Struthio camelus: one gene and its partner. Each later gene encodes a partner of the first gene's protein in a complex. Links are inferred from orthologs where the notes say so. Each region holds a gene or a part of one and is shown in the gene's direction. Other genes may lie near its edges. The genes, in order: LEPR and LEP.

Evidence for each region.
Region 2: the proteins of LEPR (region 1) and LEP are in contact, whole or in part, in a crystal structure (PDB 7Z3R), measured with the Mus musculus proteins. The link is inferred for Struthio camelus from reciprocal best matches to the Homo sapiens genes LEPR and LEP. Residues at the interface, in NP_666258.2 of Mus musculus: Tyr439, Leu440, Thr441, Arg466, Ser468, Leu469, Tyr470, Gln499, Pro500, Ile501, Phe502, Leu503, Leu504, Ser505, Val560, Phe561, Glu563, Asn564; in NP_032519.1 of Mus musculus: Lys26, Val27, Asp30, Thr33, Leu34, Lys36, Thr37, Thr40, Arg41, Gln92, Gln96, Asn99, Asp100, Glu102, Asn103, Asp106, Leu107, Leu110.

The regions. Positions count from the first base shown.
Region 1 is NC_090949.1:36,497,919-36,506,171, forward strand, and holds the start of LEPR (leptin receptor), read left to right. Parts: upstream 1-5,225; 5' UTR 5,226-5,352; intron 5,353-5,971; exon of another isoform or gene 5,972-5,978; 5' UTR 5,979-6,034; intron 6,035-8,253. UniProt on the Homo sapiens protein: Receptor for hormone LEP/leptin. On ligand binding, mediates LEP central and peripheral effects through the activation of different signaling pathways such as JAK2/STAT3 and MAPK cascade/FOS.
Region 2 is NC_090942.1:1,271,449-1,279,533, forward strand, and holds the start of LEP (leptin), read left to right. Parts: upstream 1-4,968; 5' UTR 4,969-4,995; intron 4,996-6,042; 5' UTR 6,043-6,068; intron 6,069-6,797; 5' UTR 6,798-6,808; coding exon 6,809-6,952; intron 6,953-7,792; coding exon 7,793-8,085. UniProt on the Homo sapiens protein: Key player in the regulation of energy balance and body weight control. Once released into the circulation, has central and peripheral effects by binding LEPR, found in many tissues, which results in the activation of several major signaling pathways.

The DNA.
Region 1 (8,253 bases):
TCAACTGCGCAAACAAAAGTTACCGAGGAAGGATCTGAGGGTTAGAGAAACGTGCAAGCTGAGCCTGAGTCAACAGAGGCAAGCTGCTGGGAGAGAAAAAAAGTAAACATCGTTCTGGGACGTAGCTGGAGTACTGGCTCCAACTTTGGGCACTGCTCTCTGCGAAAGACGTAGAGTAATAGGCATGAGTCCAAAGGACACCAATAAATCTTATCAGGTCTCTAGAAGAGGTGATTTATAAAGAAAGACCGAATGAACTGGAGTGGTTCAGTTTACACAAAGGAAGACCAGTGTAAGACAACAATGTAACTTAATATAACTGATGCATACAAAGGGACTTTTGAAAGGAGGCAATTAGGTGTCTTCTGTCTCTCCCAAATATATGAAAATAGGGTTAAACTGCAGGAAAGAAGATTTAGTTTAGATACTAAGAAAAAAAAAAACCCTTTAAATAGATAATTATGCACTGGTGTAGATTACATAGGGAATTTTTTCCTTTTAGGGACCTCCAATGCTGTGCAGGGAAGTGGAAGAAAACTTGTTCCTTGAGCTTCAGTCAGACCTTTGTCTTGAGACCTTTTACTCTGAATAGAAAATTATTTTCTAGTGGTTCCTCTTTGAATGTGGCCTAACAGGAACATGACAGACTAGATAGCTTGTGATGGTTTTTGCTTATGTTAAGAAAGTCCAAGATGCAAAAAACATCAGCAGCTGCCTAACCTCAGACGGGAATTGTATGTAGACCAAATTTCCCAAATTGTCTTACTAGAATTCAGAAATAGTCTCAAAATATAATTTATATTCAATTAGAGATGGTGGTTATTTTAATGAGGAGAGAAATTGGCTAATGCTATTCGGAGGAAGTGGATCATGAATTATGGAAAGTCAATGAACAAATTAAAGCCAGTCAGTAGGTCCAATAGATAGTGTGAGAACATGTTCGAGCCTGTTTGCTGAGAAGAACTTGTAGTAGGTGAACAAAAATACTGTTCTTTATATCTTATGAGGCAGAAATTATTTTTGCATTTGTTTGCAAATAGTATTGCTGAAAAGGAAAAAAACATGCCATAAAAAACCTCTCTTGCACCTATCTGGGACTTACCAGTGTGTTACCTTGGTTCTGAACACTTGCTGCATTTTCCAAGAAAAAGCATGAGCACAAGCAAGAATAAAACCTCTAGATCCTCTGGCATCCAAGCACAACTTTTCTAGTTGTGCTCAGTCCTCAATTTAAATCCCTTGACATAACTCCTGGGTTTGTTTTTTTACTGGCAGTTCCTGTCAAATACGTGGTATTGTTTTACATATGCATCAGCGCTTTTCTCAAAGAGCTCTTTATTCACGAGGGCAAACACTAAAGTGTAAAACAGTCAAAATGTGATTTTAATATCCCCAAATATCCAATACTCTTAAAAGATGAGCCAGCAGGCAATGGATACATACATCATAGCAGAACCAGGTCTTTAAGAGAGATTTGAGTGAATGGACTTTGTTAAGAAAAGATAATCCATATGTGGGGATGCCACGGAAGCCTTGGAAACAACGGTGGAAGTGGGAGGTAAAGCAGAGCTTTGCTTCGGGGACCAACGTGCTGAAGGGTACAGATGAGCCAAGAGAGGGCAAGTCGTAATTGACTGTAAGGTGGGATAAGAATTTAAATACGCTTGTGTGGAAAGGGGAGCGGTAGTGAGTGGTTTGAAAAGTGGGTGAAATGGCTAGTTTAAGCCTTAAGGGAGGCACACTGGTAGCAAAGAAGCTTGGGCCTACAAGAGCCCATCCAAATTATATAATCCAGTTCTGTTTTATTGGGGACACCAAACTGTGTAATAATTCTTTTCACAATTTATTAAACACTCACTTAAACTGATTTTTTTTGTTCCTCTCACCCTGTTATTTCCATTAGAAGGCTGTTCCAGAAGTGCATATTCTTCTACTGGCCAAGACTCAGATTTAAATAACCAGCCCAAATGTATTTGTGGCAGGGTTATACCCATCTGATTTTGTGCCAGTGTTGTCCGTTGCTTGGAACAGTTTGCAGTTCCTTCCTCTCCCTGGGGTTTACGCGTCAGGTCTTTCCCTCTGCTCCCCCCAAATCTGTTCTTAAGTCGTGGATGTTTTCAAAAACAGATTTCATCACGCCCTCCTCTTACAGAGGCTTTATATATTTGTTCTTTCTCTTATTGTACTACTACTTAACAGATTTAGTAAAAATACCTGTGCCTGCGGCTTCCCTTTCACGTGCTAGTTCTTTCATAACTCCATCTTCATGCTTTAAACCCTTTCAGCGTTCTCCCTACTGTGGCTATAGTAATTTTAGTTTCCTTAACCTCTTATTAATCCTGCTTCTAACCCTATGGTCAACATTGCTATCTTAACTGAGGAAATTATTTAATATGGTTTTATAACAAATCTCTAATCCAATCTCTATTTTTGCTGGTTGTATTAAGGGGGTTATCTCTAATCTGCAATCTAATCTCGACTTTTGCTGTTTGTTTTAATATTTTTTCCAAGTCTCCTTCAGCTGGGTCTCTTGCCGTATCTTCAGTGACATCTGGCATGGACTGTTAGAGACAAAATACTCTGGGTGAATGTTCCACTATGGACTTAATACAAACTAGAGGTTCATATGCGTAACTGGGCATATAGCTGTGTGTTAGAAGAAAAAATAAACATAGAAGCGGTTATCTTTTATCTTCAGATAGTGATTGGAGTTCTGACTTTCATGTGAAGGTAGCTTTTAAATATATATGATAAATCATTTTGGAAAAATATAGATTGCTACAGTGTATTCATCATTCATTTTAGAACCATTTTGTATAACCTGGGGACGTTTTTCACCTTTCTAACTTCAAACCTAGTCTTCACAAATTTAATACTTGAAAAACTCTTTTTAATAATTTAAGGTCAGGTTTTAAATTTAGTTTTACTTACTAATTTTCACTGTTAATTTCTCCAATGTGGTTCAGGATATTTATGTAAAAAAAATAATTTTTGTGACAACAATCCATACAGTCAGTATTAAAACACATCATTAGTTATAGAGGCAGAGATGGAAATAGTCTCTCTGCATCCAGATTTTTGTGTAGAAATGTGTAATTTTTTTTAATTAATAGGAAATAATTATCTATGCTTTTGAAATGAATGTTTCATTAACTGAGTTACAAGCCAAGCTTTTTTTTTTTTTTTTTTAAATGAATGATTTTTGACATTTTTTGTGATGCAGAAATGAATTCTAGCTGGAAATCTAGGTGCTTTGAGGAAACCTCTCCATTGCTTAAGATCATAATTCTAAAAAGAAAGTAAATCACATATAATATGAGTTTACTGAGAAATTCTATTTCAGGAGAGTGAATCCTTCTTGAATCACAGAATCACGGAAGGGATGAGCTTGGAAGGGGCCTCTGGAGATCATCTAGTCCAACCTCCCTGCTCAAGCAGGGTCCTCTAGAGCCTATTTCCCAGGAATATGGGAATTTCCCAGGAATATTTTCCCAGAATAATGGATGCTAGTCGGTACCTTATGCCCATACAGCGTTTCAAGTGAAGTGAATGGGGCTGCTTATAGAGACGGGTGGAGCCTGGCAGGATTTAGATATCAAGGATCGTCTCCTTCCGGAAGTTTCATCCTCGTGCATGCAAAAGTAATGATTCAAGTTTTGTATGTGCAAATGCACATGAGTGATTGGGTTGGTAAATCAGTCATGAACCCTTTATTCGTTACACGAAAAGAGGAGCAGACTTCTCTACATAGCATCCTATATGTTAAAAGCACTACGCCTTTCCATACAGATTGGCTTTGTAAAAGCATGAGAATGGGTAACCTCCTTAGTATGATCTGTACGTATTAAAAAAGTCTCTTTAGAATCATGTCTGTATTGCTTACTTAGAACTATATATAAAATTTTGTACATATAGCCAATACAACTTAAAACTAAGATAAAGAGTAAGCTATTGTGGTTTTTAATGTCTAAAAAAAATCAAAATACGCAGGCTAGTGAGTTAATTTTAAAATAAAGCTCTGATTTTTTTGTCCTTAAACAATCTTAGGACAAATTACCGTTTAAAAATCAATCCAAATACAGACTCAGAGATGACCTATAATACTGCAGGTTAAATCATCGCTGCATTGCAGATGATGGCAAAAACTTAGGATTTTGCCCAATGTTACATGCTATCATCTTGGGCAAATAAGTTTTTAAAATAAAATCGAGATATAAGTAACAGCTCTTTTAAAATGATAGTCTAAAGTTGGTTGTTTTGTAGGACTCCTATACTTGTGTTACTTGAGATTGAAAAATTACGTTTCTTGATCAAAACCGAACTCTTCTACGACTGGTGAGCACCAAGTGGCTCACACTTCTGGACTAAAATAGTTATGCATAACAACGCGTTAATGTCTGCCCATATACTTTATGCACCTTGGAAGTCTCTGGCAGGCCGTTAATACAAACATTTTCACGAATTAAAAAAATGGGATTTTCCGGATCATATTCTATACCTTTACTCATTTTCTAGTATATAATTGAACAAGCAGCCCAAATTGAATGGGATAGCGCTGCTTAAAGAGTAACGTGCTGTTTACCAGAATTAAATGCATCCAAATCAGATCTTTTAAAACGTTAAATAGTTATTTGTCCTTCTACGGAGAAGTGGGCACGTTTGCGTTAGGAATAATAACTCACCACCTTTAGGTTTAGCATTTTGTGAAACCTCAGAGATCCTTGGCAAACGCGACGAGTAGGCGCAAGCAGCCAGAAAGAGCCCCTGGTACTTCGTGTCACCTTTTACGTTCGTAATCGGATGTTTTGTGCAGCCTACGCTGTTAAAACCACTAACCCGAAATACTTCAGGAGAACATTAATTCTTGATGAATGTGTCTATGGATTCAGACCGGGCTGACTGTTCCCAGAAGCGTCTCTATTTAGGTAAAACAGACCCACTCTGCGTTCAAAAAAAAAAGGGGGGGGAGGGGGGTAAGAAATGTCATTGAATTTCCTTCCCTGTTAATCACAAAGCGCTAAGCTATTAATATAGCAGGAAAAACTACGCGAACGTTCACGCTCGGTTCCTCCTTGGCCCCAAGTCCTGAGGCAACGTCCTGAACGCTCGAGGTTTCCCCGTGCGCGGCCGTTGGGGCGGGGCGGCGGCCGTTGGGGCGGGGCGGCCGCGAGGGCGGGAAGAGCGGGGCGGCGGCGGCGGCGACCCTCGTCTGTGCGCGTCGCGGCGCCGGGCGCCAAAGCGATCGCAGGAGCTGCCGAAAGAAAGGAGGAGAAAACAACAGGGAAAAAAAAAAAAAAAAAAAGCTAGTTTCGGCGTAACTTCGGCTGAGGCTCTGGAAACGCGGCGGAGTAGGTCTGTGTCTGTACCCGCTTGTTTATTTCGGCTTCTGTCCCGCGGCCGGTGGCGGCGCTGGCCCCTCGCGGCCGGGCGGGGAGGGAGGGAGCCCGCGGGGCGGGAGGGCTCTGAGGGACTAGGCGCCCGGGGCGCCGCCGCCCCGGTTCGTGAGGGGCGCTCCAGCGGCCGGGGGAGGGTTTTTTTTTTTTTTGCGGGCGTCGTGGTGGTTCGCCGGCCGAGGTTTTTTTAGCTGCCGCAGCCGGGGCGAAAGGGGCCGCTCGCGTCGCCTCTCCGTGAGAGGAACGGGGCGCGGGAAACGACGACCTCCTCCGGCCGCCAGCCTCGTCCCGTCCTGGCCCCCAGTGCCGTCCCTGGGGGCCATCCGTCCAGCTTCGTGCTGACGGCGTAAGCGGGAGGGGAGCTCGAAGGTGGCGTGCGGTGCAAACGACGTCGTTTTTGCTGAGAGACGTGTGGTGAGCAAAACGCAGCTCCTCTGCGAGTGCGGGTTTTTTTTTTTTTTTCTGAAGAGAGCAGCTTTCTAAGGGACGAGGCCAGCTGGGAGGCTGACACGATGTATATAAGCCCCTCACCGTTGGGCTTTTTTTTTTTTTTTAATTAATTTTTTTCTTCTTTTGAGGTGTTAGTGTTTGAAGGAAAAAAAGACGTCTGTGTGAAGGTGCAGCGGAGGACGGGCTGCTGGGTGAGTGAGTGGCGCTGTAGTATATAGTCCATCCTGACAGGAAAGCGCTTTGGAAATTTTATCTGCCAATTATTGACACGGACACTTATAAATAGAGTTTACAATGAAAACACTGAGAGCCCTCAACTACCACATGCAGCTATAATCTGAAGGAGTTTTAAATGCCAGATAATTACAGGAGCTGCGCTTGCACCTGCGTGTAAGGAAGAACCGATGTATGCTCATCCGTGAGGAGTGCAGGACCAGTGTTTGTTAACAAATGCTTTTCTCTATCCCTTGCTTAAAATCATCAATATTTGTGGAATTTAAGTCTCTTAAATTGAATGCATGTCATGAGTGTGCACAGACTTAGATACTGCATTTGGTAGTGTTTTCTGGAAGTATGGGGGGGGGGGAAATGCAGCTCTTCTGCTGCTGGCACCCGTTCCTGGGTCTCTGGCATGGGGTGGCAGAGGAACTCTCTGAGCGCTGTGGATGTTTGCTGAGTGAGGGGTTAGCCTCAGTACAGACAAGGCAAAAATTGGCTCTAGTCTCGGGGCATTTACTCTGGTGTTTTGGAAGAGAGGCTGCACAGGCGGACTTAGAGGCTGTTTTTGTAGCCGTGCTTTCTCTTTCTAAAAATCAGTGTGTACTGGTGGGACAAGGGTAGCTCTGCTGCTGATTTCATTCTTCTCAGTGTGTGGGGTGATGTGCAACTTAGGTTGCCTTGGTTAAAGCTTTGGTGGTATTTGAAAGTGAAAAATATTCAGTACAAATTCCACTTCCATTGCTATTTTCCATGTTTCATTTACTCTGAACTCTTTATTTGTAATGTTTACTCATATACTGAATGACAAACAAATGCAGTGAATTTCTGTGCCCAGGAGGGCTGACTAAGAACCATTGCTCTTGCCAAAACCAACAGGAGTGGGAAGTCCTCAGCACCCTTAAAGATCAAGCCAGAAGACGTTGTGCGTAGGCATTATTACTAGAATATTTTATGCTTTATAGAGATCTTTTAAATATTTAAAAACAGCTGTAGCAGAGTGCTTTCAAAACTCAGGGACAGTTTGTATGCTTACAGTATTATGTTCCCATTTCCCATTAACTAGCAGCTGTTGTTGTTTTTTTAGGAGAGTGGGAATAAGAAAAAAAGAAAAAAAAAATCCTCACTTCCAAAGCTTGTATGTGCGTAGGGTATGTTGTTTGAGGAAAAATACGAGATTCCAATAATTGAATTTCTGTAAGTTTCCGTAGCTTCTGAAATTCAGGGAAAAATATGATTTTGGAGTATTTGCTTATTGGCAAACCACTTGCTAGTCCCTCTGTCCCTGTAAAAGGCAATGAGAATTTTACAGCTGAGTTCAGTGGTGTCAGGATTACACCACTCAGCTGTGTCCAGGAAAGGTTGTAGGGACTCAGCACTCTTAGTCATGAGTGCCACCCTCTGTTTACTAATATTCTGTCTTGTATTACAATCCTCTTCTCACGTTAAGCTTATCTTTTGTAATTCAGAGGTGAGACATGCAAAAGTGTAAGTTGTCAAGGCAAGGAACTGGGAGGGGGCAGCTCCAGGAGAAAAAGGAAACATTTTGTTATGTTTTTCTGAGCCCGGTCAGCAGGTGTTTGTGGGTCGCCAGCCAGTTTCATTTCAGGCTATGCTGAAAATGTTTCCCATGCTGATATGCCAATGAATTGTACAACTTCTCAGCTTGCCTGTAAAAAATGATCTTAATTTCATTACCCTTCTTGCTTGTCATGTTTGCTGTTTTGAATTTAATTGGATGTTTTTGTTGAGACAGGGATTCTCCTTACTGCATTTGTTCAGCGTTTAACACAGAGGAACACGCTATTAACTTACAAAATTGGAAAACTTCTTGTATGCAGCAGCAGAACAGCTAGTGGTTCCAGATTGCAGTATCTTAAGGCAGATCCCTTCCATGTGTATAGATATCATCCCAACCATGCATGCAACAACTGTTGCTCCTTGCTGTGTTGCTAGCTTACTTGCTCCAGGACAGAGCTGTATTTAAAAGCTTTTATAATACTTCTGTACTGATCTTCCAGTTCCCTGCAATTGTTCCTATAAAACTTGTATTTTCTTGTTAGAAGTCCTAACTAACCTCTTTCTAAGTTCAGTGTTTTCACTAGAAAAGATATTCAGTGTTCCTATCCAGTCCAGGAATACATTCCAGTCATCCTGGGAGTTTTCTGTAGCTAGTTCTCTCTAACAAATTTTT
Region 2 (8,085 bases), on another chromosome or scaffold:
GGAGCGGCTGGGCCGGCGGGCTCAAGGCTCGGTGCTCGCCGGCCGTGGGGGACGTGGGGGGACGCCCTGCCCGCAGGGGGTCCGGGCTGCAGCCGCCCGGCCTCCAGCCTGCTGCGCCCGGCTGCTCATCCGGGGTCGCCTTTGGGCAAATTCTTGCGTTTTCCAGCCGGTTTGGAAACTCTCAGGGTCCTGGCGGAGCCCCCGAGCCTGGCTGCTCCGCGCCGGAGGGCACCGGCGGGGGCCGGCGGGACGTGGCCCTCGGCAGTGGTGTCAGGCCGGGTCACGGCGGCAGCCCCTTGCCGCAGCTGCCCCGCCACCGCAGGAATGCGCAGGGCCGGTGCTAATCCGGGCTGGCCGCGGGGGCTCCCCCGGGGCCGCTGAGCTCACGCCGGCTTTCGTCAGTCCCTGCAACGGGGCGCAAGAAATCCCGTAAAACCCATGAATCAACCGGGCCTTTTCTGGACCAAAAATAACAGCAAAAAAATAAAGAGAAGCGCCCGGCGCCTTCCCGAAGGATGAGGAGGAGCGAGGAGCATTTACGGGCTCTTGGCTCGGCTCCCCGCTCCTCCGGCCGCTTCCAGCCCGGGGAGCCCCGGCCCCTGCCCCGAGGGGCCCCCCCTCCGCCGGGCTGCCGGGGAGCATAGCCCTAGGTGGTGCCCCCCCCAAAAACCCACCCCGGGACCCCCTTTTCCCCCAACACGGTCCCACCTCGGGGAGGCTTGGTGATGCAGAGGGGCTTGGGGAGCCCGGACTGCCCGCTCCTCCCAGCGGCGCCCACGACGCCAACCCCGCAGCCGGGCGAGCGCGTTGCAAGGCCGGGCGGCTGCGGAGCAGGAGCAAACCCCGCCGCTTCCGCCCGCGGCCGGGCTGCCCCGGAGCCAGCTACCGGAGGGCTCGGGGTGCCCCTGCCCGCTCCTCGGCAGCCGCCCCCCGGCCGCGGAGCCGCGTTGTCCACTGCACGGACGCCGTGCCGTCCAAAGGGCCAGCTAGGTCCGGCAGACCGCGCTGCCGGCAGCGCTGGGGTAGGAACCGCGGGGCGGGAAGGTGCTGAGCATCCTGCCCTGGTGCCCAGCTGGCTTGCTGGGCTCACATAGCCCATGAGTAGATGGTGCGCCAGGGGTGCGCGGCCAGGAGCTGCCCCTGCGGAGAGGGGACGTGAGAGGTCCGGCACCGCAGGGCCCCCAAGGTGGTGGCACCAGCCTCAGGGTCCCACCAGCCACGCTGGGGTGACAGCCAGGAGCTCTTCGCCCGGGTCAGCGATGCTGAGCCTGGATCCCAGGGGAGCTGCACCGGCCATCTCCAGTGGGACACATTTCCATCCCGGCTCCGGCGCGCCTGGAGGGGACGGGCCGCTGGGCTCCCCCGTGACCCCCTGCCACCCCGGGCTGGAGCCAGGGTTTGCGCAGGACCCGCGGGAGGCACACGGAGGTCGTGGCGGTGGCCGGAGCCAGGCACAGCCCTGCGAGACTGCAGCATCTTCCCTGCGCACGAGCAGAGCTGCTGCCGTGGGCCCAGCTGCTGCGGGATGGGGGGCTCGGCCGGGGAGGGACCGGCACCCTGCGTCCTTGGTGGCCCCGGCTCCTCCAGAGCAGCCAGGGTGAATGCGGGGACGGAGAGCCCCGGGATGCTCCCAGCGCCGGGGAGGCACCGGAGCGGCTCCGGAGAGGCCTCGGCCAGCCCCGCGGCACGGGGCGCGGGGAGCAGCAGCCAGCCCGGCGTGGGCCAGCCCCGGCGCCTTGCCCCAGCAGCGTCCCCAGGCGCCCGCTTTCCCCAGCAGCGCGGGTGCACGGGCTCCGGTGAGTGCCGCGGCGGGCGTGTGCCCAGGTGTGTGCACGTCCAGGTGTGCATGCACCCAGCCGGGGGTGGGGTGGGGGTGTGCACGCGCGTGTGTCTGTGTGTGCACCTGTTCCTAGGTGTGCGCTTGCCCAGGTGTGCGCATGCCCAGAAGCATGTGTGCCCAAGGGTGCACGTGCCCAGGGGTGTGTGTGTGTGTGTGTGCGCACCTTGGTGTGTGTTTGCCCAGGTGTGTGCATGCCCTGCTGTGTGTATGCCACCGAGTGCGCTATTCACCAGCCTGATGACACCACCTCCCCGGCTGACATCCTGTGAGGTCCCGTGTCCTGCCTTCACCAGAGCCCCAGGTGACCCATCCGTGGTGGGACACCACCACACTGAGCCGGAGGGAGCCCTGTCGTGTGACAGTGTTCATGTGCACACCCCGCACCCAGAGCTGCATACGTGTGTGCGCACAACCGGGCGCATAGCCAGGTCTCCCGGCTGCACCAACGAAGGGTGCATGCACCCACCTGGCGTGTCCGGGTGTCTGCACACATGGTGCATCCCCGTGCGCGTGCACACCTGCCTGCACACGTGTGTGTGCGTGCATGCATGCGTGTGCACCCCAGCAGCACCGGTGCGCGCCCCGTGTTCACCCTACCCACGCCATGCACCTGTGAGTCCTGGGCCGGGGCTGCTGCCTATGGGGGGCCAGGGGGGTTGGGGGGCAGGCGGGATCAGGGGGGCTCCCATCCCACCTCCTCCTGGCCCAAGGGCCGCAGGTGAGCCCCGGAAGCTCAGGATGCCCGAGGCTGGCAGCAGTGTCCATCCCGGGTGGGGGGTGCCCCTCCTGTCCTGCCCCCTGTCTCCATACGGAGCAGATCAGATTGAACAGGGGGGCAAGCCCCCCCCCCGGGCAGGTCAGGGGGAGAGACCCCCCCCCCCCAAGGGCGCTGGGCAGGGCCGTACTGTGCTCTGGGGGACACTGCAGCCCCGGTGGGTGCCTGTGTGCATGCGCCGGCGGTGCGGATGTGTCACCGCGCACACAGAGGGTGGCGGGGGGGGGGGTCCAGGACCCACGCACGTCTTTCCCCGGGGGAGGGTGGCAGGGTGCGGGTGTGGGGCAGGCACCTGGGCACGGACAGCTCAGCGGATTCAGGCCCGTGGGTCGGTGCCACCCAGGACTGTGCTGCGGGCTCCCGGCTCCCGGCTCCCGGCTCCCAGCTCCCGGCTCCCGGCTGTGGGATGCGCTCCCGCACAGACACCGGCATCCCCTGTGCTCCGTGTGTCCCTGTATCCCTCTCTCCTCCGTGTGTCCTGGGACCCCACTGTGCTCCGTGTGTCCCCACATCCCCCCATGATCCGTGTACCCTGGGATGTCCCCGTGCTCCATGTGTCCCCACATCCCCCCATGATCCATGTGTCCCTGTATCCCTCTCTCCTCTATGTGTCCCGGGACCCCACTGTGCTTCACGTGTCCCCGCATCCCCCAGCGATCTGTGTGCCCTAGGATCCCCCCGTGACCCATGTGTCCCCGCATCCCCCCGTGATCCGTGTGTCCCTGTGACCCCTCGTGCTCTGTGTGTCCCCACATCCGCCCGTGCCCTGTGTGTCTCCGGCATCCCCCCCATGCCCCGTGTGTCCCTGTATCCCTCTCTGCTCTGCGTGTCCCGGGACCCACTGTGCTCCGTGTGTCCCCGTATCCCCTCGTGCCCTGTGTGCCCTGGGATCCCCTCGGTGCCTTGTGTATCCTAGCATCCCCCCATGCTCCCTGTGTCCCCTCTTCCCCCCGTGTCCCCGGCATCGCCCCCTGAGCTCCGTGTGTCCCCACATCCCCCTGTGTCCACGTCCCCCCATGCCCAGTGTGTCCCTGAATCCCCCTGAGCCCAGTTTGTCCCCGCATACCCCCATGGTCCGAGTGTCCTGGGATCCCCCCCGTGCCCCATGTGTCCCTGCATCCCCCCCACTGTGCTCTGTGTGTCCCCACATCCCCCCGTGATCCGTGTGTCCCCACATCCCCCCATGCTCCGTGTGTCCCCGCATCTCCCCGTGCCCCATGTGTCCTGGGATCCCCCCCCCACCCCATGTGTCCCCGGGATCCCCCCATGCCCCATGTGTACCGGGATCCCTCCGGGATCCCCCCGTGCATCCACCCGTGATCTGTGTGTACTGGGATCCCCCCGTGCCCCATGTGTCCCTGTATCCCCTCATGATCCGTGTGTCCCAGGATCCCCCCGTGATCCGTGTGTCCCGGGATCCCCCCGTGCTCCGTGTGTCCCCACATCCCCCCAAGCCCCGTTCGTCCCCACATACCCTCATGCCCCACGTGTCCCTGCGTCCCCCCATGCCCCGTGTGTCCCGGGATCCCCTGTGCTCCATGTGTTCCCGCATCCCCTCCATGCCCCGTGTGTCCCCACATCCGCCCTTGCCCCTGTGTCCCCACATCCCCCCGTGCTCGGTGCGTCCCGGGATCCCCCGGTGCTCCGTGTGTCCCCTCATCCCCCCGAGCTCTGTGTGTACCCGCATCCCCCCGAGCCCCACGTGTCCCTACATCCCCCTATGCCCCGGGTGTCCCCACACCCCTCCGTGCCCCGTGTGTCCCGGGATCCCCCCGTGCCCCGGATGTCACCGCATCTGCCAGCGCGCCGTGTGTCCCCGTATACCCCCATGCTCCGTATTTCCCCACATCCCCCCGTGCCCCGCGTGTCCCGGGAACACCCCCGTGCTCCGAGTGTCCCCACATCCCCCCGTGCCCCGCGTGTCCCGGGTTCCCCTCGTGCCCCGTGTGTCCCTGTATACTCTCGTGATCCGTATTTCCCGGGATCCCCCCATGCCCCCTGTGTCCCCGCATCTCCCCGTGCCCCATTTGTCCCCGCATCTCCCCGTGCCGGGTATGTCCCGGGACCCCCCCGTGCCCCGCGTGTTCCGGCACCCCCCCGTGCTCGGTATGTCCCGGGACCCCCCCCGCGTGTCCCGAGACCCCCCCCGTGCTCCCGGGCTCCCCGACAGCCCCTGGGGGGTCGGTGGAGCAGGGCGGAGCGGGGTTGCCGGGCCGGGCAGCCCCCGGGCCGGGGCCGGGGCCGTCGGGGCGGGCGGGCAGCGCCGGGCGGGGGCGGGCAGCGCCCGTTGTGCAACGGCCCCGCTGCCCTATATAGGAGGGGCCGCGGGACATGGAGCCACCGGCCGCGACGGGACGGCACCGGACGGGGCGGCCCCCAGGTAAGCCGGGCGGCAGCCGGACCCTCTCCCCGGCCGGGCCCCGCGACCCCCCTCTCCTGGGCGCCCCTGCCCGGGCTGCCGGTGGGGCCGGCTGCGCCCTGCCCCCAGGCCCCCCCCCACCCCCCGGGGTGCAGCGCTGGCGGAGCCCTGCAACACGCTGGGGTCCAGCTCTGGCCGAGGGTGCAGCAGCCGGGGACGCCAGCTCCGCTGCAGTGACCCCAGGGAGGCTGGCCGGGGCCTGGCTGGGGGGCGACGGAGACCCAGGAAGGGGGGAATCCGGACCCCAGACCCCCCCCCCCACCTCTCCCTCCTGGGTGGCTGAAGCTGGCTAGCCTGCCCCACGTCCCACGGACCGGGCACGGTGCGTCGGCCGGCCTGCGGCCCCGAGCCGGCTCCCTGGGCCTCACCTCTGCTCCCGGCCGGACCCGCTCAGCGTGTCGGGGAAGGAGCCGGCGGGATCTCCGGGGAGCGCTGAGGAGCTCCCCACGCACCCCAGAGCCCGCAGCCGCCTCTCCGCGGCCCCCGCCGCGGTGCCCGCCTGGCCGGCACCCCCCGGCCTGCGGTGTCTGCAGCCCGGCAGCCGGCCGGCTGAGCCCGAGCGGGGCGCTGGGGCAGCTCCCGCCGGCTCGAGGCCGAGCCTCGGTGGTGCCCGCCTGGAGGCTGCGAGGATGCACGCCGTGCCAGCGGGTTGGGAAATCCCGGATGCGCGCTGCTCCCTCGCCTCTGCAGGGGTCTCCCCGCCGGCGCGGGGAGGTCAGTGCCTGCTCGGACAGCGGCTGAGCATCCCGGGCTGCAGCACCCACGCGGCTCCCCGAGGAGCCGGTGGGGGGGGACAGCAGCACCTTCCTGGGGGTGGCCCTGCACCCTCTGCCCCCGGCCAGGCCGCGCACCCTGGGTGCACAGCAGCAGCAGCTGGCGGGGGGTTGCTCGCCCTGCTCCGAGTGGGGCGGCGATGCTGGGGGGTCCTGCCCAGACCCCAACTCACCCTGGTGGTGGGGGAGGTCCCCTGTCCCAGTGGTCACGGGGGGGGGGTCTCTCTCCTTTCAGGCTCTCCCAGCTGGTGCGAGTGTCCGGTGAGTACCCACCGCCAGGCCCTTTCGCCCCTGCGTCTGCCGGCGAGCATGGAGGGTGCAGGCAGGGCCTCATCCTGCTGCACCTCGGCCTCTCCCATCACCTGGCCCGCCGGGACGGTGCTACAGGGGGGCAGCTCCCCTGCTCCGGGGTGACCGGCTGCGGGGGGAGCGGGGCTCAGGCCACGGCTGGGACACACACGGGGGGGTCCCCAGCAGCGCGGGGAGGGAGGGAGCATCGTCACCTGCCGCCGCCGGCACACGGGGCTGGATGCCCAGGGCCCAGCGCCAGCCCCGCGCGGTCGCGGCTGGGCACAGCCCAGGCCCTGGGGACTTTGGGCCGAGCTTGCGAAAGGGCAGCTCCGGGAAGGCTCCCGGCACGGCCACCCTGGCACGTGCCGGCAGGGGACGGGGACACCGCTGACACCATGTCTCCCCGGGCGCCTCATGTCACCCTCTTCCTCCCTGTGCACCCGGGATGGGGGGCAAGGTGCAGTGACACTCTCCGTTTTGTGATGCCTTGTTGCAAGAACCTGGGTGTTTTGTGTCCCACGTCCCCTTGGACGGGGGGACAGGGAGGATACGTAGCCCCCAGGGAGGGACGGGGTCAGCACCAAGACGGTGCCTGCGTGCCGCAGCAGCCCGGCGCCCCGGTCCCCTCCCCAGGGGCGCCGTGGGGTGGCACTTGCGCCCGGCGAGTGCCCGAGCGCCTCGGCGCGTCTCGCCCGGCAGAGCCCAGCAGGATGCGGTGGCCCGGCGTGTCGCTCTGCGGGCTGCTCTGGATGTGGCTCCCGCTCTCCTGCGGCCGCCCCGTGAAGATCGACAAGGTCAAGGCAGACACCAAGAACCTCACCCGGACCCTCATCGCCCGCATCCAGGAGCTGCAGGCAAGGGCCGCAGGACGACGGGGCAGCGGGCGGTGGTAGGGACCCTGGCGGTCACCCCCGCCCTGACGTCCCCGCCATGGAGCCGCTGGGTCCCAGCAGGGACGGGGACAGCTCGGGGCTCAGAGGCATCCTGGGTGTCAGCAGGGGGGACACTCGCCTGCAGCGGAGCAGGGGTGCCAAAGCGCTCCGGAGGGGCCCCGGCTCCCTGGGAAGGGGCAGACATCGCGGGCCTGGGCTGGGCTGTGACAGGGGGCCCTGTGCTCCTGAAGGGTCCGCAGGGAGGGACATGCACCCTGGGATGGGGTATGACGGGGTGGTCCTTTGGCCCAGGGGTTCCTAGAGAGGGACACCCACCCCAGGCTCAAGTGTGCCAGGGTGTCCCTGCAGCCCAGGGGTCCCCAGGGAGGGACCTGCACCCCGGGCTGGGGTGTGCTAGGGTGTCCCTGCAGCCCAGAGTGGTCCCCAGGGAGGGACACCCATCCCAGGCTGGGGGGTACTGAGGTGTCCCTGCAGCCCAGAGGTCCCCAGGGAGGGACATGCACCCCGGGCTGGGGCTGGGTGCCAGGGTGTCCCTGCAGCCCAAAGGTCCCCAGGGAGGGACGTGCACCCTGGGATGGAGCTGGGGCTGGGGTGTGCCGGGATGTCCCTGCAGCCCAGAGGTCCCCAGGCAGGGACGTGCACCCCGGGCTGGGGCTGGGGCTGGGGTGTGCCGGGATGTCCCTGCAGCCCAGAGGTCCCCAGGCAGGGACGTGCACCCCGGGCTGGGGCTGGGCGCCGGGATGGCCCTGCACCCCGGGCAGGGAGCGGGTGCCGTGCCCTGACCGCAGCCCGCCGGTGCAGCTCTTCCCCCTGAACCTGAAGATCAGCGGGCTGGAGTTCATCCCCGGCGAGCGGGCGCCCGAGGGCCTGGCCGCCATGGACCAGCGGCTGCAGGGCTTCCAGCGGGTGCTGGCCGGCCTGCCGGCGGGCAGCGTGCCGCTGGCGCAGATCGCCAACGACATGGAGAACCTGCGCAGCCTCCTGGCCGCCCTGGCCGCCCACCTGGGCTGCACCCTGCCCCTCGCCGCCACCGCCGCCGCCGCCGGCCCGGCCAACCTCGCCGATCTGCTGGCCGTCTCGCCCTACAGCGCCGC